Rattus norvegicus: one gene and its partner. The protein of the gene in region 1 interacts with the protein of each later gene in a biochemical or structural test. Links are inferred from orthologs where the notes say so. Each region holds a gene or a part of one and is shown on either strand. Other genes may lie near its edges.

Region 1 (14,723 bases):
CTGCCCTTGCTTTGGGTCAGCTTGATAGATTCACCCCATCTGTTTTCATGGCTGCTTGTCCATCAACCCTCTTCATTTCTCTTTGTGTCTGTATCTGTGTCTGTCTCTGTCTCAGTTTCTGTCTCTGTTTCTTTGTTTCTGTTCTCTCTGTCTCTCTGTCTCTTTCCTCCTTCCTATCTCCCTTCCTCCCTCCCTCCTTCCCTTCCTTTCTGGCTTCTCAAGAGAGGGTTGTTCTGTGTAGCCTGGACTGTCTTTGAAACTCTATAGCTCAGGATAGCCTCAAACTCACAGAGTTCACAGAAGCTTACCTCTGCCTCATGCCTGCTGGGATTAAAGATATGGGCTCTCTTCTAGTGAAGGGCAGTTGATTGTAAGTTTTTTCAAGTTTTCATTATTACCCAAAATGCTTCAGTAGACGTATTTATACATCCATCTTTATAGATTTAGGCAAGCCTGCCTGAAGATTCCTAAAAGCAAAATTGGATTTTAGAGATAGTTGTTAAGTGTTACATGTGGAGGGGGACAAATGAGATTTCTGCCTGCCTGGGTCTGCATTTCCGTGTTGGAGGAGAAACAGATAAGGGATGCGTCAACAAGTCCCTGGAAGCAGGGAGATGATGGTGCATGTTGGGGAGGAATCAACAGGAAGGAGACAGTGACTCATGTGGGATTTTCAGAGAAGTCCCCATTCATGGCTGGCATATCAAAAGTAGGGCAGCATCTGCAGGCATCAGGTGAGAGCTTCCAACAGTAAGGACAAAGGTCCTGAGACAGGCTCAGTGTGTTTGAGGATTGGCATGGTTCATGTGCCTACAGCCTAGTAAGGAGGAATGGTAGGAGAAAAGGTCAGAGGTAATAGAGGTGAGGTAGGAAAAGAGCCTTCAAAGTAGGGACTTGGGATTTTTTTCTGAGTTATGCATATGTTATGTATATTAAAGGACTTTGAGCTGAGGGTGATCAGGTAGACATAATAAAACCTTGACTGACTGCTGTGGTTCAGGCAAAGCAAAGCCAAGAACAAGGGATAAAGCTCAGTGTGGGTATAGGATGGGAGGATGGACAGAAGGCGTGGCTAGAAGGATGGCCTAGAAAGGAGTGGTGGGAAGTTGGGGGTAGAAGGCAGGGTCTTAGCTTATCAGTGCCAGGGGCCCAGTGGTACAGTCATGCACACAATCAGGTGTGGCTGTCCATACAGACAGAAGTCAGATCTGGGTGTGACCAGCTTGTAGTTTTTAGGTGAGAACAGTTAAGTTGGAAGAGGAGTGTGAGTCTGGAGTTCACACCATGGATGTTGAGTGTGAGGAGATGCCGGTGCAGGCCAGCAATCGTGCCTCACTTTGAAGGCTGCCGTACCAGCCCTTGGCTGCTTCCCTCTGTGGGAGCATTTGGTCATTTCCCTAAAATGGATAATGGGTTGGATGGAGGGGTTTATACTTTCAAAACAGAGCCAGATGGACAGATCTCTGTAAGCCTTGTCTACATAGGGAGTTCCAGGCCAGCTGGAGGCGGGAACTGAGGGGCTGAAGGGATGGGATATGCAATTCGTGACATTGTGACTCCATGAAAAGAGCTAGAATGGATTTGCAGCTTCACTTTTTGAAAACCCTGATGCTAGTAATAATAGCAATAACTTTCCATAATAATGACTAATAATTTAACACACATACAATTCTCTTCAAATATACAGTCCCATTCCGATACATTTGAAGTTACTACAGTTGATAAACTTACACGAATAGAGTGGAAAGAAGAGCAGGGACTGTGGACTAAGGAGTGGGCAGGGGGAGGGGCGATGGAAACGTCTTGATGGTCACAGTGAGAACTGCTGGTGGGATGAGCTTGGAAAGAGGTTTTGCAGAGATGGGAGCAGGGTCCTAGGAGTGGAGGGTGTGGAAGGGGCACAGGCTCATTAATGAGCCTAGGGCATGGTGTGTTGGGATGTTGTCCAGAGGGACACAGAGAATAGGACAGATGTCATGGAACTGAGAGGCTGGAAAAAAAAGGATTGGGAAGGTAAAACCACTCAGTAGGGCTAGCAAGATGACTTTACACTAAGTGTGTCAACTTGAGTTTGATACTCAGAACCCACATGATGGATCAAGAGAACTGACTCCTGAGAGCTGTCCTCTGACCTCCGTGTGTGTAGAGGTCAAAGGACATATGCACACTAAAGACATGAAAAGCCAATAAACATCCAAACCCAGCACTGACAGCGCTAGTTCAGAAAGTGTCCAGGAACCAGTCCTGTTGACAGTGATATGGACGTTGGGTACTAGTGCCTGACTTGGAATCTGCCTTATTCTATCCTCTGCTCTCAGCATCTAGCTTTTCACTGAAGCTAAGGGGAGGTGTGGCCCTGTCCCTTGTTTAGCAGGAAAGCCCACTAGCTGAGTGTCCAACCACACACACCTCACAGGTCACAACAAACCTGACCCTGGAACCTTGCGGGGACTCTGATGGCACAGAGGACTTGGGGATTTCTCTGGATATTTCCAAGCAAGTACTTTCCCTTATAGGGAAAGCCTCTGCCTTTTAAAAATTCATTGTCTTGGGGGCTGGAGAGATAGCTCAGCAGTTAAGAGATTCACAGGACCTGCATGGGTTGGCTCACAACCACCTGTGATTCTACCTTGAGGGACTTGTGCCTTCGTCTGGCCTCTGCAGGCAGCTTACAAACATGTGATGCATGCATATGTACTGAGACACACACAGATACACATAAACTAAAGTTAGTTTTTATATATTATCTCTCTGTGTAGTCCTGCCTGTCCCAGAACTCAATATGTAGACCAGGCTGACCTCATACTCACAGAGATCCTCCTGCCTCTGCCTCTCCAGTTCTGGGAGTAAAGACATGTGCTACCATGCCCATCTCTAAAGTAAAATCTTTTTTAAAAAGTTCTTGGCCTTGGTTATGGAGCCTTGAGACTTACCGAAGGGCTGTGGGCATTGTCAGGTTGATAATGTGATTCTTTCTGTCTCCAGGGAATACCGTGGGGTCAGAGGCTATCACATGAGCTGGCTGACACTGAAGTTGTGTGGCTGACCCTAGGATTTAGAGGAAATACAGGGCTGATTCAAAGCCAGGCCCTTGGGCTGGGGTTTACATTTTTTTCTGTACAGTCTTCATACTTATGTAATCTCATTCACATGCTTCATAAGGACAGATATGTATGTTAAACCCATTTCCCCAGAGGGACTGTGACCTGACATTAGTTCCCTGTAGACACCATGCTCCTTCTGGGAATCAGAGCCCAATGAGTTTGTATGATTGGTGTCTCAACTTCTGTTCTGGCCTTTCCTTCCCATCTCAGACCCGCCCCCCCCACTCCACACACCCTCACACCATTCTGGGCCCTTCCTGGCCCTGCCCTCTTCCTAAGGACATCACTATTTATATTGACTGTGAGGAAGCAAGACTGGTTATTTAAGTCAGCACAGTAGCCCTCTACTCAGGTGGGGAGTGCAAGGCAGTGGAAGCCCTGAGCCCTTGTGGATGTTTGGTAGTGGGAATAGTGGACAGGTGTTTTTAGTTAGTCTGGTGAGGGCCATGTGGGAACAATGCTGGCCATGGCTGGTGATGGTTAACTTTCCCACCAGCTAGGCAGTGGGCATGTGCCTGACCCCAGGGGCAGGAAGAGTGGGAGCCATGTAACCTTCTCTCCTCACCCCTCATTTCTTCCCCTAGATTATTCTGAACTTCACATCTATGGACCTGTACCGTAGCCGCCTGTGCTGGTATGACTATGTGGAGGTGCGGGATGGCTTCTGGAGAAAGGCGCCCCTCCGAGGTAAAGGGCATTGGCTCCTGAGCTCCCTCAGTCCCCTGGTTCTTTGTTGGAACATGCTGGGACCCAATACTCTAGGTGGGGTGACATCCTGATATGAGACCTACAAGCTCTGATATAGTTTGTCCCAGTAGTCCCAACACTAGCTAGTGCTGTGACAGTGGGCGAGTCCTGTGTGTGACACACTCAGGTCTTAGTGCCAGCTCTGGGGCTACCCTCCAGAGCTGTTCTTTCACTATGAGGATTTGGGAGTCAAAGGAGTATACAAACGTGCCTGGCAGGCTGCTCTTCGCATCCCGTAGTTCCAGGCTCACACCCTCACTGGGCTTTCCTTGATCTATAAGGTCTAATTTTGGGGTGTCCATGATATGGCCTGGCTTTTAACCTGCTATAGACCCTTTTTAACCCTTAACTCACCTTAATAACTATAGGCCTGGAACATTGGCCTGGCACTGTTTGTACATGGCATTTGTCACTAATTGTGTGTGTGTTTGCACGTCTGTGTACATGTGCGTGCATACACACATATGAAGTGAGTGGGATAAAGATCGCTCAAAGCCACGGGACAATGCAAGGCAGAGTAGTGTTGTACTTCTAATTCTGGGGAGGCCAAAGGTAGAAGGATCCTGAGCTAGAGGATAGCCTGGGCTATATAGCAAGGTCCTATCTTAACCACAACACAATCTAAAGCACCATTGGATATAGAGGCAGGTCAGTGGACACAGAATTAGAGCAAAGGGGACATCTGCATCAAGCTTGAGGTGTTGTGCGACATTGTTCATTGTGTTGTCTGTAGCCGGAAGTGATTCGGGCTGCCTACCCCCTCAGCACCTTTGTCCCTCATCTGGGGGAAGCAGCCACATGCTTTCGGTTGATTACTCCCCACTTCTGCTTCTGACATTCTAGTGGACCTGTTAGTCACCCAGAGCGACTGGCATTGAATCTCCTCTGCAATGTGTTAGGTCTCTGAGATTACGATTTCGTTCTCATAACTGACATCCCTAGGCCAGCACCCACCTTCTGTCCCTTGCTTGAAATATGAGAGAACACTCTGTCTTTCAGGAGCACACAAGTCATCCCCAATCAACTCTTGACTGCAAAGAATTTTACAGATGGCCAGCCTCAACCTTTGTGTTGATTCTTAATGAGTTTTACTTGAGCAGAATTGCTTTCTGGCCCTGTCCTCAGATTCTGGAGTTTGGGGTTCCAAAAAGCATTCCCTGAATTTGACCCAGTGTTGGCATGCTCGGAAGAGCAGGCTATGACATTATATGTAGAGAAAACTGTCTATTTGTTGGTATCAGGTATTTGTTGGTATCAGGAATTGCTTTCACACTATTTCTCTCTTGTTGCTTCTTTACATGGAGATCTCATATAGATCAGTAGTGATAGTAGCTTCACTTTAGAAAGGTCAGGAATGCTGGGCAGTGGTGGCAAATGCCTTTAATCCCAGCACTCAGGAGTAAGGCAGGTCTCCATGAGTTCGAGACCAGCCTGGACTACAGACTGAGTTCCAAGACAGCCAGGGCTACACATAGAAACTCTGTCTTGAAAAACCAAAACAAACAAACAAAAAAACAAAAAATAGGTCAATAAAACTTTAATCCAGGACTTTGGAGGCTGAGACCAAAAGTTCAAGGCTAGGGTCTGGACAGTAGCTCATCTGGTAGAGTACCTGCCAAACATGCACAAAGTCATGCTTCAGTTCACTCACTTGGGCCTATAATCTCAGCACTGGGGAGGCTGAGGCCTTGAACTTTTGATTCAAGGCTAGCCTGGCCTAAATAGTGAGACCTCGTTCAATTCCCAGCAACCACATGGTGGCTCACAATCATCTGTGACGGGATCCGATGCCCTCTTCTGGTGAGTCTGGAGACAGCCACAGTGTACTCACATACATAAGATAAATACACAATTAAAAAAAAAAAAAAAAAAAAAAGACAAACAACAAGGGTTTCCAAAACACAAACCCCTCAAAATATCAACGATGAAAAGCAAGTCAGTAAAACACCCATGTTCTGCAGCTCCTGCCCTGTCTCAAGGGGTTTCTGGTTCTTGTGGTGATCATAAGAATAGGCACAGTAGGGGCTGCAGACTGGAGCACCGAGCCTCCCAGAAAGTTGGGGCTTACATGAGGAGACCTGGGACTCAAGCGTCATCTGTCTTCATTGTCTGCAGGCCGGTTCTGTGGGGGGAAACTCCCCGAGCCCATTGTCTCCACCGACAGCCGCCTCTGGGTGGAATTCCGAAGCAGCAGCAATTGGGTTGGAAAGGGCTTCTTTGCTGTCTACGAAGGTACTGAGGGAGAGGAAGGGGGCCCTGGGACATTCCAGAACCACTCCCTCCTGTTGGTTCTCCAGCAGGGTTAGCGGGTGGGAAACGGGGATGGGGTATGCTGGAAGAGTGGGGAAGGGGCACTTAGGCAGGGCCTGGCCTGCTGACCACCATTATCCCGTGCTCCATCTCACTACCACCCCATCCTGGGTTCCCATAGCCATTTGCGGTGGTGACGTGAAAAAGGATAACGGTCACATCCAGTCACCCAATTACCCCGACGATTACCGGCCCAGCAAAGTCTGCATCTGGCGGATCCAGGTGTCTGAGGGTTTCCACGTGGGCCTCACGTTCCAGTCCTTTGAGGTAGCCTGGCACAGACCCTTCGAATCCACCCTACAATGCTTATGTTGGTTTCCAGGACAGTCTGCTTTCCTGAAGGCTCTGGGGATGGGGATCCTGGAAAGCAGAACTCCTTTCCCTGATAGAGCCCCTGCCTCCTAGATCGAGCGTCACGACAGTTGTGCCTACGACTACCTGGAGGTCCGAGATGGGCACAGTGAGAGCAGCAACCTCATTGGGCGATATTGTGGGTATGAGAAGCCTGATGACATCAAAAGCACATCTAGTCGGCTCTGGCTCAAGTTCGTCTCCGATGGGTCCATTAACAAAGCTGGCTTTGCAGTCAACTTTTTCAAAGGTACTTCCTCTCCTGTCCCACATTCTCCTTCTGTGGATGCTCAGTGCCTTGTCTCGTTATTCTTCATTCATTCCATGTGAAGACTCCATGACAGAGATGCAGGTACATGGATACTGTTAAAACACTGTGGATAAATACTACCAAAGGTCAAAGTTCATCCCCGTGAGGAGTGGGACTTGTGGAGGGAATGATCAAGACAGAGGGAGGATGTTTTTAAACTTATGTGGTCTAGGACACACTATTTCCCCAAGCCACAATTCTTCACCTATACAGTGGGTATAACAGCTGCCCCATACTTGGTGTCATGAAGTGAATAAAGGAGAAACGAGAGGGTGGTACTTTGGCGGGACTAGTACATAGGAGGTGTTGGTAGCTGCCAGTTAGCCTGAAAGCTCAGAAGAAGGTTCTGTAGAATTTCCTTGTGGGTTCTCAGCAGCCACGGGAATATGGGAATACAGGAATAAGGGCTAAACAGGCAAGTGAGGCTTTTAGTTCACTCCTCCCTGCAACATGGGGAGAGAGGTCATAGGAACCCTGAACCTCTGGGCTTGAACCTCAAGCTCAGTGCAGGAGGAAGGAGCAAAGTCCAGCCTGTGGTTGGTGACACCCCTTTCTTTCTTTCTCACAGAGGTAGATGAGTGTTCAAGGCCCAACCGCGGGGGCTGTGAGCAGCGGTGCCTAAACACCCTGGGCAGCTACAAGTGCAGCTGTGACCCCGGCTATGAGCTGGCCCCAGACAAGCGTCGGTGTGAAGGTGAGTGTCCCACTATCCCAGGACTATTGGGCTCTTTCCTGTGTCCTCAGTCAATCATATCGGGACAGGCTGGAAAAGTTCTCTAGTGCCATTCCCAGTCACGAAGGAGAAAGGTGTCCTATATGTCAGCCCCCAGAACATTGTCAGAGTGTGATACACACTGGCATTAGGGGCATTTACTCTGACTCCTTTGTTAATACTGATCTTAATCTGGTGATTGATGTCACCATCTTCCAAAGGGTCATGATCCACCGTTCAGATGCCACTGTTTGCAGAGAGTCTAAGCCTGTATGCTATGCTAGTGTATGCTTCAGGATAGCAGTTCCAGATCAGGCTGGTCTTACTGCCTTTGACCAATGCCTCTGGCTGCCTCCCAGGACTGCCCATTTATACATTCACCAGGCCCCTCTGTGTCCCCTCCCAGCAGATTCCTGGCCCATCTTCCAGAAGAGGTAGTAGAAATGACCATGTATGCAGCCCCTTTTGATCTTAGAATCTGGGCTCCCAGGCCTCCGACTTGTGGGCCCATAGACTCCCATCTCCCCCTGACTGCTGCTCAGCCTCACGTCCCTTTCTGGTGGATGATGCTACCTCGCTTGTCCCTCCAGCTGCCTGCGGTGGATTCCTCACCAAGCTCAATGGCTCCATCACCAGCCCCGGTTGGCCCAAAGAGTACCCTCCCAACAAAAACTGCATCTGGCAGTTGGTGGCCCCCACCCAGTACCGTATCTCCCTGCAATTTGACTTCTTCGAGACTGAGGGCAATGATGTAAGTGCCTCTGAAGCCAAGGTGGGTAGGAAGGTGTGGGGTGTAGGAGCTTGGCTCAGTGCCTGCCTTCCACCATTGGGAGAATTAGATACTAGGCTCGGAGAACAGAGACTTTCCAGTACATGGAAGCTTGGAGGGTGTGCAGGGCCATGAAGGAGCTTCTGCAGATGAGGATGGGCATTGGTTGGAAGCCTGTGGAATGAGGAAGGGCTTGGGGCCAGCTGCCCTGGGGCTCTGTGATGCAGTTTTGTTGGGAGAACAGACGCTGAGCCTGACAGTTTCCCAGTGAGTGAGTAGTCATGAGAGAGGCTTCCTGGAGGCAGCATCCAGAGCTGGGCTCTCTGGCAGGTGTGCAAGTATGATTTCGTGGAGGTGCGCAGCGGACTCACAGCCGACTCTAAACTACATGGCAAGTTCTGTGGCTCCGAGAAACCAGAGGTCATCACTTCCCAGTACAACAACATGCGTGTGGAGTTCAAGTCTGACAATACTGTGTCCAAAAAGGGCTTCAAGGCCCACTTCTTCTCAGGTAACCCTGGGTCCCTTGCTCTAGCCCTGCCTCCGACAGATGGAGCCCTCTTGCCTTCCCTGGTCTCCTAAGCCCCCTATCTCCCCAACTTATTATCCTCCATCAGTACAGCCCCTGGGGCACCTGAATATCTTTATTGGGAAGCCCTGAAAACCTTAGTTATGCTGGGCCTAGGGAGGGGCAGAGCATTTAAGGGCAGAAATGAGGAGGCTGGCAAGCCAAGGCCTGAAAGGGGAGGCCCTAGGACAGGGGTTCAGTTGCCTGAGAACACGGAATGGAGTAGAAGGAGGTGTCGTGGACTGTGTGGGGTAGTCCATCTTGCAGCAGCTGCAATTCTAATCAGGCCCCGCCCACCCAGCCCACTGGGTTCATGCCAGGCCTTCCCACAAGAGAAGTCCTCTCTGCCCTTTAGTAACAAAACTACCCGTTCCCCTGCCCGTGGAAGGCCTGGCTTCATCCACCCTTAAGCTTTATTTGGCCCTTTTGCAGCCCCTCTCTGTGTGGTCCAAACCCAGCCGTCCCAAGCTGGACCTCTGGGGTCCTGGGAGACCTCTCCCCTGTTCTAGGAATCCCTAAGTCTTTGGCCCTCAGGTCAGTGTGAGGAAAGGAGCAAAAGGGCCCAGACCCAGCAGTGAATGGTAGGAACACTCTACGGTGGGGTGTGGACAGAACAGGAAGCCAGTGGGCAGGCTGGAGGAGCAGGTGGCTTGTGGAAGGGTGGGTTAGGGACCTTCAGCCTGACTTTTCCTGGTGGGGTGGACATAGGGTGGGCAGGCCCAGGAAGCCCATGACTTCATCCACGCTGCCTCCCTTCTCCCCTCCTTACCCAGGGTCCCGCATCCTTCAGCCCCCTATGTGGCTGCCCTGCACCCTTGCCTGTCCCACCTGGATGCCATGCACCTGTCCCCGTGCACTGGTTCCCTGCTTGGCACTGCCAGCTCTCCTGCTCTGCTTAACATGCTCTGTTGAGCTATTGCCCCCAGTCCCCTGCCCCATTGCTTGCTGAGACCTTCTCCATGTAACACCAAGCCTGCCCATCCTTTCCTAGGCCCACTTAGACAAAAAAAAAAATGCTTTCCAGAGGGCTGAGGGCATAGAATATCTGCCAGGCTGGGCTTCTCATAGAAACCATTACCTGCTTACTCTTGTCTGTCTCTGCCCTTCTGCTACTCCAGTCTTGGAGAGGATGTGGGGGTACCCATGTTTGTTTGGAGTCACTGCCCTGTCTCCCCACCCTTTACATAGCACTCAACACTGTACGAGATATGTACACGCATGTACACGTGCTCACACCATATGTATACACACATGCATGCATATATATGCATTGCCCCTTGCACAAGAAACCTGCAGAGGACCCTCATCAATGGGCATCAGAGTTCAGCCTCAGGGCCTGGGGCATGTGACTCTGACCCCCAGGAGGGGGCTGTGTGGACTTTTGGGACACCCATCGAGGAGACCCTAAGACAAGAAGGAGAAGCAGAGCCTGAAGACCTTCAGTCTGACCCCAGCACCTCCGGGGCATTTGGGCACTGTAGGGTGAGTGCCATCTCCTTGTTGGGGTCTGTGCCACCTCCCTTGCCCTGATCCCCTGCAATGTCTTCTTCAGTCACAGAATGGACCGTCCACATTTCCGGGTGTGCCAGAGTCCCCTCCTAGATGTGCAGGCAGCCATTCACAGAACTGACATCCCCACACATTACTTCAGTCTTTCACGTACCCATCCACTCATTGGCTTAACAGTTTTCTTTTACCCCACCTGTGTCCCAAGCACTGGACTAGGTATTTGGGGAGCATATATGAAGAAGGCATGAGGGTCCAAATATGCTTGGGAAGCCATGGCTTACTTTGTGAGCTGAGCTCCCTGGACTTCTATCAGAGTCCCAGGAGAGGCACCCCACACACCTCAGGGTATGTCTCACAGACAGGCATAATGTTAACTCCCATGGTCAGGCTCTGATAGCCAGAGAAAGAAGTTTTGGGAAGGGAATTGACAACTCTACCTCTTAGACACACGCTCCTGTGGACTCTTGATGGGTCTAGCCCACCTGAGCATGAGAAATAGGGCCTTCTAGGAGTCAGTGCTGCAGTCCCCAGGCTCCAGTCCTTAGGCTAGATTAGGAACAGTGTCCACTTCCCACAAACCTGCGTGGACAGTGGAATGCCTGCAGCCGTCTTTCCACTTTGTGGCTCATCTCTGGAATTCTGGGTGTAATTGGGATCTACACACTTGTCCTGAGTGCCTGCTTCTGTGCCAGGCAATGGACTTAGAACAATGGTGTGGCACACAAGCCTGTAACTGTGTGCTTGTGTATGTGCTTGTGTGTGTGTGTGTGTGTGTGTGTGTGTGTGATGCCTGACCTGTGTACATGTCTATCGGTGTTTCAACGTTTGTACAACAGTTCTTTTATGCACAGGGCTGTGTTTATGGTTGTGTTCCTGGGTGTGTATGTCTGTGTCTCACAAACTCTGTAGGCAGCTGTCTGAAGGAGGGTGAGCAGAGCTTTTACATAGCCCTTCCCACCACTCCCCTCTCCCAGCGACTCTGAGCTTCTCTTCCCCCATGTGCACTCCTCGGAAGTGTGCCATCCCTCCAGCCCTTCTCCTTGCCACAGGCTCAGTCTTGTTCCTTGTTGCTGTGCCTCCTGCTAACCCAGCTGTAGTGACATGGCCGTCCTGCATGTGGGTCTGCCTGCCCCTCCGCCCCACTCTTCTCTGTCCACCTGTCTGGAGACCCTGGGTCTAGTTTTTATTGATTGCCCTCCCTGGTTCCTGCCCTCCCTCCACCCCCTTCATCCCCTCCACCCCCACTCCTTTGTCCCTTTTCTCCTTCTCTCTCTCTCATTTCAGAAAAGAGGCCAGCTCTGCAGCCCCCTCGGGGACGCCCCCATCAGCTCAAATTCCGAGTGCAGAAAAGAAACCGGACCCCCCAATGAGGCCTGCCAGGCCCCCAGACCCTTCATTACTCAGGAAGCTCACCTCGGACGGAGTGGGCTGGGGGCTTTGGAGCCCCACCTACTCCCTGCCTCCACTCTGCCATTCCGGCCGCCTCCTTAGGCTGGACAGAACTGGTGCTCTCCTCTCCCCCCGCCCCCTCCCATTTTGATGGTGTCTGTGACATTTCCTGTTGTGAAGTAAAAGAGGGACCCCTGCGTCCTGCTCCTTTCTCTTGCAGTCTGCTTGTCCCTGTGTCTGTTTTTCCACTTGTCCGTCTGTCCAGTAAGCAGGTAATGGTAGAGGTCCCCATGCTGGTCAGCTCCAGACCCCAGCCCTCCCTCCACCCACTTCTGCCCACCTCTAACTTCTCTGCCCAGAAAGGAGGCCCACCCAGTTGGCCCCACTGGTGCAGTGACCAGAGCGCCATCATCACCCTGACCTTCCACTCTGTACCCAGTCCCCCTGCGAGAGCACTCCCTCCCACAGGAGGAATCCCCGCCAGGCCTCCCATGTCCCCTGGGGTGAGCAGACCTCAGCCCACATAGACCCATTGCTCTTGTTTGTGTCTACAGACAAGGATGAATGTTCCAAGGACAATGGTGGCTGCCAGCAAGACTGCGTGAACACATTTGGCAGCTACGAGTGTCAGTGTCGCAGCGGCTTTGTCCTTCACGACAACAAACATGACTGTAAGGAAGGTAAGACCTGCATAGAGGGCGAGGAGGATGGAGAGGGTGACCACAGCTGGCCAGGCGCCTCACAGTGTCCAGAGATGACCCCCATGCAGATGTCTCCATCCGGAGCGAAGGAACCTGGTACCTCCTGTGTGGCGCTCCGACCACCCTTCACTGTGGTACCCAGGTCACATGCACAGGTGCTCTCCCCTTGTCCACATCAGGAGAAGAGTCCACAGGTGCTGAAGGTCCTTTTCTATGCTCTTAAAGCCTGAGTCTAGGCTGGGTGTGGAGCAAGCCTTTAATCCTAGCACTCGGGTAGATGGATCTCTGTAAGTTCGAGGCCAACCTGGTCTACAGAGTCAGTCCCAGGATACCTAGGGCTATACAGAGAAACCCTATCTTGAAATCCTCTCCCGCCAAACAAAAAACAAAAAGCAAAACAAAAATCCCTGAATCCAAGATTTTCTGTTTGTTATGGTCATAATTTAGCAGCTGAGAATACTGATTCTGAAGCTAGGTGGCCTGGCCTGGATCTGTCACTTGGGTAATGTGTGCCCTCGAGTGGCCGGCTTATTCACCGTGTAGCTGTGGAAGATGGAGGTAGGTCAGAAGTTTTGGAGCAGTTCCAGTCACACAGCTAAGTGTATGGCCGTCGCGCTGGGACTCCAAGCAGGGCTGCCACTCTCAGTCCTGAATATACATGATAGGCACTCAACCTGGCTATTCAAATCCAGAATGTCCTAAAAATCTGAAGCTGTTTGAACTGTCTGTATCATGATGCTGCAAGTAGGAAATTCTACCCCTGACCTTATGTGATTGGTTGTAATCAAATCACAGGCGCACTAAAAATACTATGGAAAATACCTTCAGGGACTGGCAAGATGGCTCAGCCTGAGTTCATCCCTACAAACCTGCATAAATGTGGAAGCCAACTCTACAGAGCTGTCCTCTGGCTTCCACATGATGATGATGATGATGATGATGATGATTTTTTTTTTAAGGATTCTTTTATTTTTAATTAGGGGAGGGGGCATGTGTGTGCACATGAGTGCAGTTACCAGTGGAGGCCAGAAGAGGGCATTGGATTCTCCTGAGGCTGGGACCGTGATGTGGGTCCTGGGAGCTGAACTTTGACCCTCTGAAAGAGCAGTATGTGTTCTAAACCACTGAGCCATCTCTTCAGCCCCAAGTTTTACAATTTAAGAAATGGTCTTTGGGCCATGTTTGTAGGGTATATATGAAGCGTGATTGAATTTAGTTGCGGTTGAGTTCCATCCTTATAGCTGATTACCTACTCTTCTCTCGTACAAACGCTCCTGGTCCCAAGCATTTTGTGTAAGGTATACTCAGACTGTTAAAAGGCATCTACCCTCACAACACACAAAGCACCCAGTGCCTCTTCGGACAGGATACAACAGTGTTCTGACTCCTAAATTCTGTGCCCTGTACCGGCTTGAGCAAGTGCAATCCCAACAGCCTAACACTGCCTCTACCACTGAACGTGTGGCTTGAGGGTGAGTCATTTAACCCCTTGGAGCTTGTTCCTTCATTCATTGCACGATAAACAGTAAGACCCTGCCCTTCCAAGGGCGGAACTGTATTGCTATCATTATTCTGCTCAGAGATAGTCCCTAACAAATGGCTCTTAGCTGTCATTGAGTGAACAGCCCAGGTGAAAATAAAGATGCTTCTGAGCAGAGTTCAGAGGACGGAAGCACCCCCTGGAGAAGCTGTGTGACGTTGAGAGCTTCCACCGGGCGCCGAGGGTGCCTGGGTACTGAACTTCTGACTCCCTGAGCACCTGCTGCCCTCAGCTAGCTGAACCCAGTCCTCTGCTTTTCCAAACCACATTCTCCAACAGTTTAGATAGAAAGGGATGGAGCTTGCTCCTCAGTTCACCTTCTGGCACACCTAGAAACACTCCCAATTCCTCCCTTGGAGGTGGGCTAATGCCAGATCAGGCCTCATGCTTGGCTCCCATGGAGAAATTGATTCTGCTGAAGGTTCTTTTGGGGAATGTGCGCAGAAATGGCACCCAGCCTGAGAAGAGATATAAGCATATATGGGAAGCAGAGCAGGAATGCTGGCGTGGAGGTAGGGTGGGCAGAGGGGCCACCAGAAGCTGCAGGTGAGTGATGGGGACAGCTCCCACACAACAACAAAGAGGCAGGTTCTACACACACACACACACACACACACACACACAGAGAGAGAGAGAGAGAAAGAGAGAGAGAGAGAGAGAGAGAAAGAGAAAGAGAAAGAGAAAGAGAGAGAGTGTGTGTTGAGGACTCAAGA
Region 2 (15,407 bases), on another chromosome or scaffold:
CTACATAATGAGAACCTGTTTCAAAATGAGAGACAGACAAATAGATTGACTGGGCTTAGGTACCCTTCTTTCTCCTGGAGGTACAGGGACCTGGAGAGCTCAGCTCTGTGGGCAAGCCTGCCGTTGATTGCTCAATGGTCCCCTTCCAGTCCTACCATTATACATGTGATGAGAGAAATAACCAGGCCCATCTGTTCCTGTCTTAGGAAAGACAGCTGCCGAGCCTCCCCCACAAATACCTCTTTGCTGGCTCCTCTCTCTCTTCCTTTGGCCCTGGCTCTAGCTCCTGTGCTTTCTCCTCAGTCCCTGTCTCCCCACAGTCTGTCCTCTGGGACCCTGGGGCCTGACCCTGCCCTCTCTCCCTTGTTCTTCCTCAGGCTTTCTCCCGTGCCTCCTCTGAGGATGGACTGTCTATTAAGGAGTATGGCCCAGATCCCAGAATTCTCCAGTTGAATAAGAGATACCTCCTAAGATTAGGAAGCCTGATGCTGGGATAGCGGGAAGTGGTGGGGGTAGGAGAGGATGGGGAGGCTTGTCTAGAAAAGCAGGACGAAGGAGGTGGGGAATGACCTGGAGAGGAATAAGGTCCTCCCTCAGATGAAGGAAAACCACCAGTCAGAGGTGATAGATGATACAGTTGGATGGACTTGGGGACAGGTTGGGGTGGTGGTGGAATACGAGTCCACTCGTGGGGAAGCACTGCTTGATTCTGGGAAGCGCAAGCTAGGTTCCTGACCCTGGGAACTGAAGGAAGAGGAGAGACCTCAGAAGGGAAATAGGAATACAGCCAGAGTGAAAGGAAGGAGGTGCTGTGGGTCCTAGGTAGGGGAGGATCGGTATCCTTTTCAAAGACGAGCCCTCATCCTACAGCGGCCCATCCGGCTCACCACTGGTACAGGCCCGAGGCTCAGCCTCTACCCTTCACTAGCCCGAGGCTCTGGTCTTGGGATGGACACCACCTCCAGGGGTGGCCGCAAGGAGTGTGTGTGGGGGTGTCGAGGCCCGCCTCTCCTCCCCCTCTTTGCGCCCCCTGGTTCCTCCCTTCCCCCTACTCACTCCGCTCCCCCCTCCTCCAGTCCCTCCCTCCTCCCCTGCCGGGTCCCAGCCTGTCCCCCTCCCCCACTCGCGATCCGGCCGCTGCTGCTGGGCCGGACCCCCCGGGCTCAGCCGGGCTCCTTGTGGAGCCGCCGCCGCGCCCCGTTTGCTGAAGAGGAGGCCCCGGGCCGGGACGCCTGGCGCGGGCATAAAACGGGCCAGAGCCGGCGCCTAGGGCACTAGAGTGGCGTACGGCCCGGGTCAGCGCCCCTCCGCCCGCTCTCTCCCGCCCCGCCCGGCCGGGAGCGGACTAGGCGACTGCGAGACGAGCCCCTCGCCACTGCCCCCCTCCTGGCCCCGGCCCCCTCTTGCCGGCCCGCCTCCGGTCCGGCCCTACTCCCTCTCCTGCTCCCTCCTCCCGCCCGCCTCCCCAGCTGTCTGCTCCGCGTCATGCCGAGCCTCCCGGCCCCGCCGGCCCCTCGGCTGCTCCTCGGGCTGCTGCTGCTCGGCTCGCGGCCGGCCGGTGGCACTGGCCCTGAGGCCCCCGCACTGCCCATCCGTTCCGAGAAGGAGCCACTGCCTGTCCGGGGAGCGGCAGGTAGGTGGGCGCCAGGGGGAGACGCGGGAGGGGAGAGTCTGGCTCGGGCAAGTCTACATCCACAGGGAGAGGGCCCCGGGCGCAGGTGGCTTCGCGCAGCGGGAGGGTGGGTGGGGAAAGCAGAGGCGGCGAGGTGCGCGGTGCCAGGGGACCAAGGGCCTGGTGGGCAGAGCCCGGAGTAGGCATTACGGCAGGAGCAACCGGACAGCGGCCGCCAGCCAAGCCCGTCCCCGCAGGCTGCTCCTTCGGCGGGAAGGTCTATGCCTTGGACGAGACGTGGCACCCGGACCTGGGGGAGCCTTTTGGGGTGATGCGCTGTGTGCTGTGCGCCTGCGAAGCGGTGAGTGGATATCGCAGCTGCTCGTCCTACCCTAGAGGGTAGCGGAACGCTGGCGTCCTATGCCGTAGTAGACTCAGAGATGCTCTGGGGAAGGCTGGTTCGCAAATCAGAGGAAACCCCTTTCAAGTCTGCGGTGTTGACAGTTATTGATCGCCCACAATGTGACTGGCTTTTAGCCAACTTTCCCCCTCCCGTTACAGCTTTGCTAGATAAATGGCATTATTAGCTCTACTTTGCAGACAGGGACGCCAACGCTAGAGGAGTTAAGAAACTTGTCCAGGGCCATGTAACTTGTAAATAGCAGAGTCGACCGACTCCAGCAGAGTGTCTAACCCTGGGGTCTGATGGTTGCATTCTCTTAATTTTCCTATGTTCTCTGCCATCAGCCTCAGTGGGCTCGCCGTGGGAGGGGCCCTGGCAGGGTCAGCTGCAAGAACATCAAACCTCAGTGCCCCACCCTGGCCTGCAGGCAGCCGCGCCAGCTGCCAGGACACTGCTGCCAGACCTGCCCGCAGGGTGAGGCCGCTGTGCCCCGAGTTAGGGAGGGTGGAAGGCTCTAACACTAGGTCCTGTGCCGCTTGGATCGCGGAGGAGGAGTGGTCCTCCTTGTACCTTGCTGAAGCCGGTGGTCTCATTCCTTATCCCGGATGCAGAGCGCAGCAATCTAGATCCACAGCCGGCTGGCCTGGTCTTCGAGTATCCAAGGGACCCAGAGCATCGCAGTTATAGCGATCGAGGGGAACCCGGCACTGGGGAGCGGACACGTGGTGATGGCCACACGGGTAGGCTGGGACGGAGGTGGGCCTGATGAAATTTGAGTTCCCAGCAAGGCTGACAGTGCTCAGGACAATCTTTTCTTCTCGAAGACTTTGTGGCGTTGCTGACTGGACCGAGGACGCAGGCGGTAGCTCGTGCTCGAGTCTCTTTGCTGCGCTCAAGTTTACGCTTCTCTATCTCCTACCAGCGGTGAGACAAGGGAAAGGGGAAAGACCAGGAGTTGTAAAGGGGGCAAGAAAGAGGAGCCTGTAGGTTATAGATCCAGTCTCACTGGACCTCTCTTCACAGGCTGGACCGTCCCAGCAGGGTTCGGTTCACAGACCCCACAGGCAACATCCTGTTTGAACACCCTGCTGCCCCCACCCAAGATGGCCTGGTGAGATGATGCCATTTAAGAGTGCTTATCCAAAACGGGCACTTGCCGAGAGCATGCTTTGCATTGCCTCCTTTGGTTCTCACAACAGCCCAGTGGGAGAAAGGCCCTGACATTATGATGCCCATTTTACAGAGGAGGGAACTGAGGCTCAGAATAGCAGAATGTGATTTGTTCAAGGTCATTGGCTAGTAAGTGGTAAGCCAGGACTTAACATTAAGGCTCCTGGGTCCTTCTTAGAGGGTCTGGGGTCCCCCTTCCATACTCCTTCCTCATTAGGCCTGGGTCTTTTAGCTGGCTTGTTCTGCATACTTACGGTAGACTTTCTTCCCTCTTCTCTCTAGGTCTGTGGGGTGTGGCGGGCAGTGCCTCGGCTGTCTGTGAGGCTCCTGAGGGCAGAGCAGCTGCGTGTTGCCCTTGTGACACCCACTCACCCTTCAGAAGAAGTCTGGGGGCCTCTCATTTGGCAGGGTGCTCTCACTGCAGGTAGGGGGGGGGAGTGAGCAGTTCTTAGATGTCAAGAGCTGCACCTTCAATAGCCCAGGGGTCGGTGGACTGAAGAGAGGATTTCTCATGGCTGTCATGGTCCTCCACTCCCCAGAGACCTTCAGTGCCATCCTGACCCTGGAGGACCCACTGCAGCGGGGTGTCGGGGGCATAGCCCTGCTCACTCTCAGTGACACAGAAGATGCCTTACATTTTTTGCTGCTCTTCCGGGGTCTGCTGGGAGGTGAGTAATGGGGAAGATGTACGTACATGAGGGTGTTAGGGAGGGTGCTCACCTCTCAGAAATGCTCACACAAGCGGCACTTGCAGGACTAGCTCACGTCCCCTTGAAGCTTCAGATTCTCCACCAGGGACAGCTACTTCGAGAGCTCCAGGCCAATGCCTCAGCTCAGGTAAGGGAAGGCCTGCATCTCGTTGCTACTTCCTCTGACCTCTTGCTGTTGCCCACCACATTCTGCTCTGCTCACAGGAGCCAGGTTTTGCTGAGGTGCTGCCCAGCCTTACAGACCAAGAGATGGACTGGTTGGTGCTGGGGGAGCTGCAGATGGTCCTAGAGAAGATGGGTGGGCCAGAGCTACGCATCAGCGGGTATATCACGACCAGGCAGAGCTGTGATGGTGAGGAAGGGCGGGGCCTGGCACTGTGGTACAAGTAACTCAGAGGCACGAACATGTGCTAAAGAAGAGGCCAAATAGATACGAGAGAGTTCTTGGGGACCTGGGTGTGGGCAAACCTGTTGCCACCTGTCTTGTCCCCTGCAGTCCTTCAAAGCGTCCTCTGTGGGGCTGATGCCTTGATCCCAGTCCAGACGGGTGCTGCTGGCTCAGCCAGCTTCATACTGCTAGGAAATGGCTCCCTTATCTATCAGGTAAAAGTCAGCAGCTGTAGGGGACAGGGAGGCCAGCAGGGCAGGGCCTTGACCTGCAGGGGGAAAGGCCCTAGGTCTTGGCTGTCAATCCAATTGCCCTCCCCCAACCTTGCCCACCAGGTACAAGTGATAGGTACAGGTAGCGAGGTGGTGGCCATGACGCTGGAGACCAAGCCTCAGCGGAAGAACCAGCGCACTGTCCTGTGCCACATGGCTGGACTCCAGCTGGGAGGACACATGGTGAGGGCTCCAGGCAGAGTTGTGCCAGGGCTGCCAAAACATGGGCTGCGGGAAGCCAGGTTGGTTGAGCAGAGGTGTGTAGTACTGTTCACCCGCTCGTTGGTTCTCTCGGCGAGTCCTTTGTTCATTTGACACGTTTTAGTAAGCCTTAGGCTGGAACCCTTGTTCTCGGCAAGCTAACAGTTAAATAGGGAGCGCCACTCCTGGGAACAGCGAGATAGCCTGTGCGATAGTACTAACCGTGCCTTTGGTGTCTTTCTGTCAGGCATGAATGTGGTTGGCTTCTTTATGTACCGTGACTTTCGCAGTACCCTTTGATAGATGCGAAGCGAAGGCTCGCAGACGAGTAACTCTTCAAGGGTTGTGGTGTGTCTAGGATGTGGCACAGGAGGGCCTTGACACTCGACCTGCAAAGTTCTTGTCCAGTGTTGAGGAAGGATACATGTGCAGTGCAGGCATAAAACATGGAAAGCCCTTGGACCTGAAAGTGAGAGGGGTCATCCTTTTCTGACTCCTAGGCTGTGGGTGTCTGCTCTGGGCTGGGTGCCCGAGGGGCTCACATGCTGCTACAGAATGAGTTGTTCCTGAATATTGGTACCAAGGACTTCCCAGACGGAGAGCTTCGGGGGCACGTGACTGCCCTATGCTACAGCGGGCACAGTGCCCACTACGACAGTGAGTGCCTCACGGTCTACCTGCCTTTCTGCGTCCTCTGAACTTCCATCCGAGCATCTAAAGAATTAGCCAGAGAACCAGAGCCTCCTGTGTCCTGCTCTGTCTGATCTCTGGTTGGCATTTAGAGAGGTGGGGATGCATAGGCTGATGCTGTTGCCCAACCCTCCCTGTTGTCCTTGTGCAAGGAATCTAAGACTTGCTGCTCCCCAGGCCCTAGGTCTGTGGTAGGGTAGAATGGGATTAAGAGCACAATCTCATGTGTCATCTTGCATCTGTTTGGACTTAGGATTGCCTGTGCCTCTGGCAGGGGCACTAGTACTGCCCCCTGTGCGGAGTCAGGCAGCAGGACATGCCTGGCTGTCCTTGGATACACATTGCCACTTACACTATGAGGTTCTATTGGCTGGGCTTGGTGGCTCAGAGCAAGGAACTGTCACTGCTCATCTCCTCGGGCCTCCTGGGATGCCAGGGCCCCAGCGACTGCTGAAGGGATTCTATGGCTCAGAGGTAAGAGCATGGAGAGAGGAGGAAGCTTGGAAAATTTCTGCTGTTTTAGCTTGGAGGGCTGTGTGGGCTGTGGTTGTGGCAGAGAGGACAGGCATGGCCATGGGTGTCCGACAGGCCTAGGTGTAAATCTGACTCAGCCTTTACTATGCATTTTCTCTTGTGTCCTCTGTCCTAAACGATTCTCAGGATAGAGGTCCCAAGCCATTGAGGAGTAGGTAGGGGCTGGAGAGATGGCTCAGTGGTTAAGAGCACTGATTGCTCTTCCAGAGGTCCTGAGTTCAAATCCCAGCAAACACATGGTGGCTCACAACCATCTGCAATGAGATCTAATGCCCTCTTCTGGTGTGTTTGAAGATAGCTACTGTGTACTTGTATATAATGAATAAATAAATCTTTAAAAAACAAAAAAAGAAGTAGGTAGGATGGACCACAGCACTCTTTAGTGCTGCTCTAGACTGGTAGTCAGAGAGACCTAGCCTCAAGGCTATTCTCCCTTGAGAAAAGGCCTTAATCACTTGGGTCTGTTTCTTTACCTGAAAATTGGAGACCAGGGGCTTAGTCCCAAAGTGCACCGTGGGGCTGGAGAGGTGGCTCAGTAATGTGGCTGCCCTTCTGGAGGACCCATTTCAGGTCCTAGCACCCACTTGGTAGCCCATAACCATCTGTAACTCCAGTTGTAGGGGATCCAATGCCCTCTTCTGGCCTCTACCGGCACCAGGCAAAAATACTAGCACACATAAGTAAAATGATGTAAGTAAAAAGCGCTTTGTTTCTGCTCTGTGCGTGATCTGTCTGCAGGCTCAGGGTGTGGTAAAAGATCTAGAGCCCGTGCTGCTGCGGCACCTGACACAGGGCACCGCCTCCCTGCTTATCACCACCAAGAGTAACCCTAGAGGAGAGCTACGCGGGCAGGTATGTGAGGATGGTGCAGCTGCTCGTACTTTCTGATCTCTAAGGTGGTAGTGTTCAATTCTTGTCAGTGATTAAGTATGAAGCCACACAGCTGCATACCACCCCGGCTTTGCAGCTGGGATGAGTCCTGAAGGGAAGGGAAGAGTCTCCTCCTGGGCACTTCTGTCAACAGCCAACAGTGGTTGACAGAGACAGGAAGGAGAACCCCAGCCAGCCCCAGCTTCCTTCTCTGCCCAGGTGCACATTGCCAGTCAGTGTGAGGTGGGAGGCCTGCGCCTGGCCTCAGAAGGAGTGCGGATGTCCTTGGCTCCAAATGGAGAGGCAGCTACATCACCCATGCTGCCTGCTGGGCCCGGCCCTGAAGCCCCCGTACCAGCCAAACACGGCAGCTCTGGGAGACCCCGAGATCCTAACACATGTTTCTTCGAGGGGCAGCAGCGTCCCCACGGGGCTCGCTGGGCACCCAACTATGACCCACTCTGCTCCCTCTGCACCTGCCAGGTAGGATGGCTGGGTAACATACTGTTGGCTACAGGGTCTGGGGCAAGGGGCCCGACATACCTTCAAAGCCTTGGCCCCTCTCTACAGAGACGGACAGTGATCTGTGATCCTGTAGTATGCCCACCACCAAGCTGTCCCCACCCGGTGCAGGCACTGGACCAGTGCTGTCCCGTGTGTCCAGGTGAATGTCCTGCAGGGGAGGAAAGGTAGAGGAGGGGTATCCATGGGAAAGGAGTGTTCTAGGGAGGGAAGCAGGGACCACCCTCTGCCTCACCCTTTCTTTGCCTTCACAGAGAAACAACGCAGTAGAGACCTTCCCAGCCTACCAAATCTGGAGCCAGGAGAGGGTAAGTGAGGGTGGTGTATCCAGGGATGGGAAGATCCAAAGAAGCCATTGGGTTGGAGCAAGAGGGCAACAGAGTTTGTGTACAGGGGAGGCTGAGGTGTACTAACTCGAAGCGTATCTGGTAGTCATCTTTAGTGTCTATTGGCTCTTGGCTTAGGCTAGTGTGGACCTAGTTGGTAAGACCAATCCTAATGGCAGCTGGGGACTCTTCCCTACCAGGCTGCTATTTTGATGGTGACCGGAGCTGGAGGGCAGCGGGTACCCGATGGCACCCCGTTGTGCCCCCCTTTGGCCTAATTAAGTGTGCTGTCTGCACCTGCAAGGTATGGCTGCCTGATCTTCTCTGGGATAGTAACCCAGTCAGTCGGGTGTGCAGATAGAGGTTGGGGCTTCCTTGATGAGGAGGTCTCAGGATGGTATTGCGAGGGGCAGTCCCTTGGCTTTTGAGAACAGCTTTCCTGTCGGAGGGGGTAAAAAGCTGACAGGTCCAAGTGTTGGCTGTGCCAGCTGACTGGGTTCACATGGCCTTCGGTGATGACTTCTGAACTTTCCCCAAGCTCCCCATTCCTCCTGTGTGTGCAAATATGGCAATCTATGTATGATACAATGAGGATTGGATTCAGATACAGGGCAAACTCAGGCCTCTGAGCACTGACCCACACATATATCTGACTTGAGGTGGGGGAAGGAGAGGAAAAGCAGTGTGAAGTTTGCCTGACACCCTCTCTTAATGGGTGCCTACAGGGGGCCACCGGAGAGGTGCACTGTGAGAAGGTGCAGTGTCCTCGCCTCGCCTGTGCTCAGCCTGTCCGTGCCAACCCCACCGACTGCTGCAAACAGTGCCCAGGTGAGAGCCTGGTCATTGAGGCCTCACTCTTGGGGTTGGGTAGGCCCTGACCTGTGTTTGGGGGAGGAGTGCATGATGGGGATTGAAAGGAGTTTCTCAGATACTTCTCAGTCACTGAGCACTGCTTATGTCCACCCGGAGCTAGTGCCTTAAAAACAGTGGGAAGGACATGCATTTATGCTGTGAGGTGGTTGGGGTTCCAGTTCTATCAACCTAGCTGTCCATCTATCCATCCATCTATCCATCCATCCATCCATCCATCCATCCACCCATAGTCATTTATCTACTCCATCTGTAATCCATCCATTTATTCACTCATTCATCCCCCACCTATCCATCTACATTATCACGTATCAAGAACCAGAAACTACTAGGCAACAGGAATCCAAAACGAAGTTAAAGCTATTTGACCCTTATGGTTTAATTTTGTCTTTTCTTTCCCCAGTAGGGTCAGGGACTCATGCCAAGCTGGGAGACCCCATGCAGGCTGATGGGCCTCGGGGTTGTCGCTTTGCTGGGCAGTGGTTCCCAGAGAATCAGAGCTGGCACCCATCAGTGCCCCCCTTTGGGGAGATGAGCTGTATTACCTGCAGATGTGGGGTGAGTGAGGGACTTGTGTGATGTGGGCAGCAGTGCCTGGCCTAGGGTAGGGAAATCTTCTCAGGGAGAGTCCTGGAGGTGGCTTTTCCTGAAGAGGCTGAGGACTACAGTGTCCTGTGAGGAACCTCAGTATCTCTCCATCCTGCACCAGGCAGGGGTACCCCACTGTGAGCGGGACGATTGCTCGCCGCCACTATCCTGCGGCTCAGGGAAGGAGAGTCGATGCTGTTCCCACTGTACAGCCCAAAGGTGTAAGTGAAGGAAGCAGTGATGGCCGTGGGTCGGCCGGATGACCCTGGGAGGGGAGGCTGCCCCATGGAGGTAGGAATTATGAGTCTGGTTCATAAGTGCAACCCCAGCCCACCTCTTCAGGCTTCTCACTTACTGTCATTTCTTTACAAATGGGACTGCTGAAGCTCAGAGGAATTAGGCAATTCAGGTGGTGTATGCTGCCTTGCTTGGACAATTTGGTCCTTTCTGGGACTGGAGCAGAGATGTTCTGCCTGCCCTCCCATCCCCCCATGTCTTCCTCCAGGCCACCCTGTTCCCTATCTCCTTCAACATTCACTCCCTTCTGTCTTCACCAGCCTCTGAGACTAGAACCCTTCCCGAGCTGGAGAAAGAAGCTCAACGCTCCTAGGAAGCATCCAGAAGCACATGACCAAGAGGATGGGCCTGAACTGGGAGAAGGAGTGGTGCTGAGGACCCTGATTCTCCTGCGGGAACCCAGTGCCTTCCGTGCCTCTGTTCTGCTTCTTCTCCTCCCCCACTACCTCTGGGAACCACGATTCTACAAGGGGAAAGACTGCTGGGTCAGACCAAGGCCATATCCACGCGAACTCCTGCCCTGTTTTCTTTTGGCCTCTGTCCCAGAAGCTTAACTCTTTTCTTCTGTACAAAACACCACCGGCTTATTGGGATTCTTTAATTTATCCTCACTCAGCACTAAGGGTTCCCTCACACCATTCCTGCTGCCCCTGAGCTGAGCAGAGTCATTATTAGAGATTTTTGTATTTATTAAAACATCTTTTTTTTTTCAGCCTTTGGGTTTGAGGTAGGCTCTCTGTGGCCAGGGCCATGAGTGGGCGCCAGTAGAGTGAGATCTAACAGACCTAAATAAGAGAGGAGCCCTGGGCCCCAGAGTCTTTCTGACCTGGGAGCTCGAAGGGGCTTAGGGAATGGGATGGCTAGTTGGACGGCATATCTAGGTTCCATAAAGAGGATTGGGACTGTTCACAAAAGGGGGTAGAGCGGCAAGAGCCCTGGTAGCCTCAAGTTGAGTTACCCGTAGCTGGCATTCTTGCTGACGATGTCCGTTCATGCCAGAATGAAACCAAAGTGCTCCCAGTCTCTATTTTTTTTTTCTTTGTCTAAAGCAAGTTACACATTTTCTTCCCTGAAACGTTGTTCGTTGACCAGGTAAGGGCAATCCTATATTCACATTGAACTGGGATCAGCCCTGATTTAGTTAAGACCAAGCTCATCATGAGAAAAAGTGCTATGGTGGGCAGAATAGCAGGAGACCCCCTCCCCTTGTCTTTTCCCATCTCCCCTCATCCCTGCTGGTTCCCAGGAACCAGACATTTCTTCAGGCCCCATGGCTCTAGAGAAACAAGGGCAATATGTTAGAAATCACACACACACACACACATACACACACACACACACACACACACACACACACTTATAAATAATGCCAGATAAATCTGATAGTGTGGAGGCCTGCTGTTCACTTTAGGCCTTCCTGTTGAAAGTGTAGCCAACAGTCACCATCTTGGCCTTTTAAGGCTCCAGGTCTATGTGGTTCTGCAGTTACTTCACCGAGATGCTCACTCCCATGTGTCCTGCTTCCTTTGTGGAAAACAGGTTGCATCACAGGAAGCAACCATGGCCCATTCACTGCGCAGCCTGGCACCTGGCCAGTGTTTATTAGGAAAAGCACTCTGCTTACTGTGGAATTTCTGGAGCGTGGCTGCTATGAGGGTGGCAATGGGTTTTGTTGCATTTGCCAGGATGTATGTGGAGGAGCTCGGCTGTGAACTTCGTGGCAGTGACGGGGATAGCTGGTCAGGGCTAGCCTTTACTGTCGTACTAAGAGGTGCAGACAGGGATGAACCAGGGATGAGGGCCAGATAGGGTTGAGAAGGCAAAAGGAGCCAGAATGGGTTCCCACATTGGCAGAGCATGAGGTGTGCCATGGTGGGAGATAAGGTTTTACCCACCATACTGTCCTTAGCAGGGAGGGAGCTATGAGCTAGGTAAGGATGACCCTTAGGCAGCTTGGTGACAGGGCTCATCCTTGACTTTAGCTTCAGAGCCCCAGAAGGGCTTTAGAGCAGACTCTAAGTGTCAGCAGAGCAAATGTGTGAACAGAATGGGCCAGGCAGGAGCCCCTGGAATACCTTTCCCATCCTAGACAGCATTTCAGCCGAAGCCAGACAGTCCTAGGTTCTTCCCTTAATAGGAGAAGTGGGATAATGACCTATGAAACCAGTCCTGTGTGTGGTCTCTTCAAAGTCCTTTATCCAGAGACCTCAAGAGGGCACCCCATGCACTCCCCTTTAATCCGCTAGAGGCAACAGGGAGCAAAACTAAAAGCAACAACAACAGCCAAACAACAAAACAAAACAAAAGAACAAGAAACCTAAAACAACAAAAACCACGGAGAGGTGATTTTCTTGGGCAGGGTCACAATGTCTTTGAACACTCATTAGTATAACATCATATGGTCCCTTAAGCTAGGGCCAGGAAGGCCTTCCACACTCTTAAGGGTTTGACTGGACTCCCGAATTCTCCAGCACTAGACAGGGAGCACACAGGCTGTTGGATAGACGAGGTGGTTTTGATAATCCTTGCTTTTCAAAGAGAAAACTCATGTATAGTTCTACTCTGCCGCGTTCTATTTGAACTCCAGTGACATTCTTTATTACTTTACATTTTTTAAATATGCAGAACCCGGATCTTGGCACATCAGGCCACAGACAGCCACTGTTCTGGGACTTCGTTAATGGTGGGGCTGCGGCTAAGTTGCCTGTGAATCATTTATGGCAGTGACTAAGAAGGTCCATTTTCTTTTTTTCTTTTTTATCAGATAGTCTTTTTTTTTCTTTTTTTCGGAGCTGGGGACCGAACCCAGGGCCTTGCGCTTGCCTAGCAAGCGCTCTACTGCTGAGCTAAATCCCCAACCCCAGATAGTCTTTTATTTAAATATTTTCTTGTTGCTTCTTAACTAGCTGGGCACTCCACCGCACCGCTGTTGATGTCATGAGGGTGGCGGCCATCCACATTGCAGCCCACAGACTGTGCAGTACCCAGGATCTCCTTGATAGTTCCAGAAAGTTCTCTGGCCAAAGACTGGTGTCTCATCTGCCCTGCAATGTTGACAATCTCATCAAAAGTGATGTTTCCACTGTGTTTAATGTTTTTCTGCTTCTTCCTGTCTCTTGGTGGCTCCTTGAGGGCTTTGATGATCAGGGCAGAGGCAGAGGGCACCACCTCAATCTGGGCCTGTCTGTTCTGGATGGTCAGTTTCACTGTAATCCTGAGGCCTTTCCAGTCACCGGTAGTCTTGGCGATGTCATCACCAACTTTTTTGGGAGACAGACGCAGAGGACCGATCTTAGGGGCCAAGGCGGATGTGGCGCGGACCTCGTCTCTGGTGCACCTCAAGTACACGACTTTGATCTCGTTGGGCGGCATGGCGGAGGTGGCTGGTGTCGGATGAACCTGGATTCGGGACGACTGAAGAAAGTTGCACCATTGCCTCCTCCGAACCGAAAGCCGAAAAGCCCATTTCAAACTGTAGTTATGGATGTCTGAAAGTGTCATTGATTGATCAACACGGAGGGAGGGGTAGACATATGGGGATCCAGGGGCCCAGGGTGACCGCTCTCCTTTGAAGACAGGCACTCAGCCATTAGCAAAGCCTGCACTCCAAAGATGGGTTGGTTTGTCTTAAAAACTTTTTGAAGTAACTGATGGCATCTTGCTCCTTAGTCTTTTGTAAAAAGAATGGAAAGTAGAAAAAAACAAAGGCAAGCCGGTCATGGGAGTACGGTGCAGGTCTGTAATCCCAGTGCTTGGGGGTAGAGGCAGGAGGATCAGGCACTTGAGGCTGTCTTGGTGCACAGTGGGTTCAGGGTAGTCTGGGCTACTATGACCATGTCTGAATACAGCAGAACAAGAACACAGAAGCAGGTGACACAAGGACAGAGGCAAGAAGAAGAAGTCATCTCATAATCGCAGAGTGGAAGTGTTTGTCTGAGGGTTTGAAGGCATTTCAACCTGATAGCTTTGAGGCCACAAGAGACCTTGTATGAAGAAGCACGTAGAATACACAGACTAAGAATGGGCTGCTGGAGACAGTGTTACAGGTGGCAAAAGGGAGGTCTGTTAGGACCTATAGCATGATCAGAGAGCTCTGAGAATGGAGCCCCTACGCATGGGTGTTTTCACTACACAGTAGGCACCAAGGTTGCTACTGCTCATCATAAGGAGAGCTCACTATGGGCTGGGGAGATGGCTCAGTGGTTAAGAACACTGACTGTTCTTCCAGAGCTCCTGAGTTCAATTCCCAGAAACCGCATGGTGGCTCACAACCATTTGTAATGAGGTCTGATGCCCTCTTCTGGTCTGTCTGGAACAGCTCACTGTGCATCTGTATCACTGTGATAACGAAGGTAGTTCTCCCGGGGTGAAGCTCATCCCTTGCCCTCCGGATGTGCTGACTACTGGGGCTTCCCCAGTGAGAGAAACTTGACTGTACAGTTTGTGGTAGTGGGGGTGTTCACACCCTCTCCTTTAAAAATCGTTGTGAATAATTATAATAAAATAACATTTATAAAAGCTATAAAATAATTATAAACACAAATGTGTAAGAAAGAAGTATTACTCCAAACCACAATACCAGCTGTCTGGAAGAAAATAAAAACAAAACTAAAACCGCTGTTTTTGGGGGCCAATGAGATGGCTCAGTGGGTGAAGACACTTGCTATGCAGACCTGACTTTCATTTCCAGGACCCACACAGCGGAAGGAGAGAACTGACTCCACAAAGTTGCCCTCTGGTTTCTTTTTTTTCTTTTCTTTTCTTTTTCTTTTCTTTTTTTTTTTGGAGCTGAGGACCGAACCCAGGGCCTTGCGCTTGCCAGGCAAGCGCTCTACCACTGAGCTAAATCCCCAACCCCTTTGCTCTCTGGTTTCTTTTATTTATTTATTTATTTATTTATTTATTTATTTATTTATTCATTCATTCATTCATTTATTTATTATAAGTACACTATAGCTGTCTTCAGACACACCAGAAGAGGGCATCGGATCTCTTTACAGATGGTTGTGAGCCACCATGTGGTTGGTGGGATTTGAACTCAGGACCTCTGGAAGAGCAGTCGGGGCTCTTAACCACTGAGCCATCTCTCCAGCCCCTGCTCTCTGGTTTCTTGTTGTGGCTCTCTTCCATGCACGCGTGTACACATGCCCATGTACATGCACACATACAAGTTCACACACACAAGTTCACACACCAAGCACACATACACACACACACACACACACACACACACACACACACACACATAGATACAGGTATTTACACATAAGCACTCACACACACATACACACATAAGCACACACATGTAGTCTACTACATCTACTACTGCTGAAGTTAAACATTATTATTATTATTATTATTATTTTTTTTTTTTTCGTTCTTTTTTTCGGAGCTGGGGACCGAACCCAGGGCCTTGCGCTTCCTAGGTAAGCGCTCTACCACTGAGCTAAATCCCCAGCCCCTATTATTTTTTTTAAATCAGTGCTTATTTAACGTTTCAGTTAAAACATCTAGTTGTCTGACCTCACTCTCTCAGTCCCTGTCCTAACAGCCTTCTGGTCCTCACTTGTGAGGAAGCTGTCAAACACCTGGCCAGGCACAAAACCTGGAAGCTGGAAGAAGTCTTCATGTGACGGTCTCAGAGAGAGCATGGCAAATTGGCTTTCAGTTTGCAATTTTTAGCAAGTTGACTAGTGACCACCAGTGGAATCACAGCTCCCCTCTGACAAGTACTGATGGTTGTTTGTCCTTCTGTGGACAGTAGAGGTGGCCCAAGGTGCTGTGGGTCTCGGCTGTTCTTTGAGGGGAGGGGCTGGAATGGGTTGCTGTGGATCCAGTTTCTTCTGGTCTACTCACCTTGGCCAGCCAGGCTTACTGCTGTGAGACTCTGGGGGTTCTCTTCCTCTGTTGAAGGCATGCTGTTGAGGTCCTTGGTTTGTTTGGTGACAGAGACC

The links.
Region 2: of the proteins of Bmp1 (region 1) and Chrd, one has a biochemical effect on the other in vitro, tested with the Homo sapiens proteins (3 studies listed by BioGRID and IntAct). The link is inferred for Rattus norvegicus from reciprocal best matches to the Homo sapiens genes BMP1 and CHRD.

Annotation. Positions count from the first base shown.
Region 1 is NC_086033.1:51,970,120-51,984,842, reverse strand, and holds part of Bmp1 (bone morphogenetic protein 1 precursor), read left to right. Parts: intron 1-3,688; coding exon 3,689-3,791; intron 3,792-5,966; coding exon 5,967-6,083; intron 6,084-6,282; coding exon 6,283-6,428; intron 6,429-6,566; coding exon 6,567-6,762; intron 6,763-7,390; coding exon 7,391-7,516; intron 7,517-8,124; coding exon 8,125-8,285; intron 8,286-8,633; coding exon 8,634-8,814; intron 8,815-10,233; coding exon of another isoform or gene 10,234-10,304; exon of another isoform or gene 10,305-10,353; intron 10,354-11,664; coding exon of another isoform or gene 11,665-11,750; exon of another isoform or gene 11,751-11,988; intron 11,989-12,323; coding exon 12,324-12,449; intron 12,450-14,723. UniProt on the Homo sapiens protein: Metalloprotease that plays key roles in regulating the formation of the extracellular matrix (ECM) via processing of various precursor proteins into mature functional enzymes or structural proteins.
Region 2 is NC_086029.1:93,671,158-93,686,564, reverse strand, and holds Chrd (chordin precursor), read left to right. Parts: upstream 1-1,464; 5' UTR 1,465-1,485; coding exon 1,486-1,633; intron 1,634-1,755; exon of another isoform or gene 1,756-1,803; coding exon of another isoform or gene 1,804-1,869; coding exon 1,870-1,973; intron 1,974-2,359; coding exon 2,360-2,489; intron 2,490-2,626; coding exon 2,627-2,755; intron 2,756-2,839; coding exon 2,840-2,939; intron 2,940-3,038; coding exon 3,039-3,126; intron 3,127-3,467; coding exon 3,468-3,609; intron 3,610-3,724; coding exon 3,725-3,853; intron 3,854-3,939; coding exon 3,940-4,022; intron 4,023-4,099; coding exon 4,100-4,247; intron 4,248-4,391; coding exon 4,392-4,498; intron 4,499-4,618; coding exon 4,619-4,738; coding exon of another isoform or gene 4,739-4,797; intron 4,798-5,256; coding exon 5,257-5,413; exon of another isoform or gene 5,414-5,689; intron 5,690-5,699; coding exon 5,700-5,920; intron 5,921-6,718; coding exon 6,719-6,832; intron 6,833-7,069; coding exon 7,070-7,333; intron 7,334-7,420; coding exon 7,421-7,514; coding exon of another isoform or gene 7,515-7,539; and 14 more. Other genes in the region: Rpl12l2 (large ribosomal subunit protein uL11-like), read right to left, coding at 12,352-12,954. UniProt on the Homo sapiens protein: Dorsalizing factor. Key developmental protein that dorsalizes early vertebrate embryonic tissues by binding to ventralizing TGF-beta family bone morphogenetic proteins (BMPs) and sequestering them in latent complexes.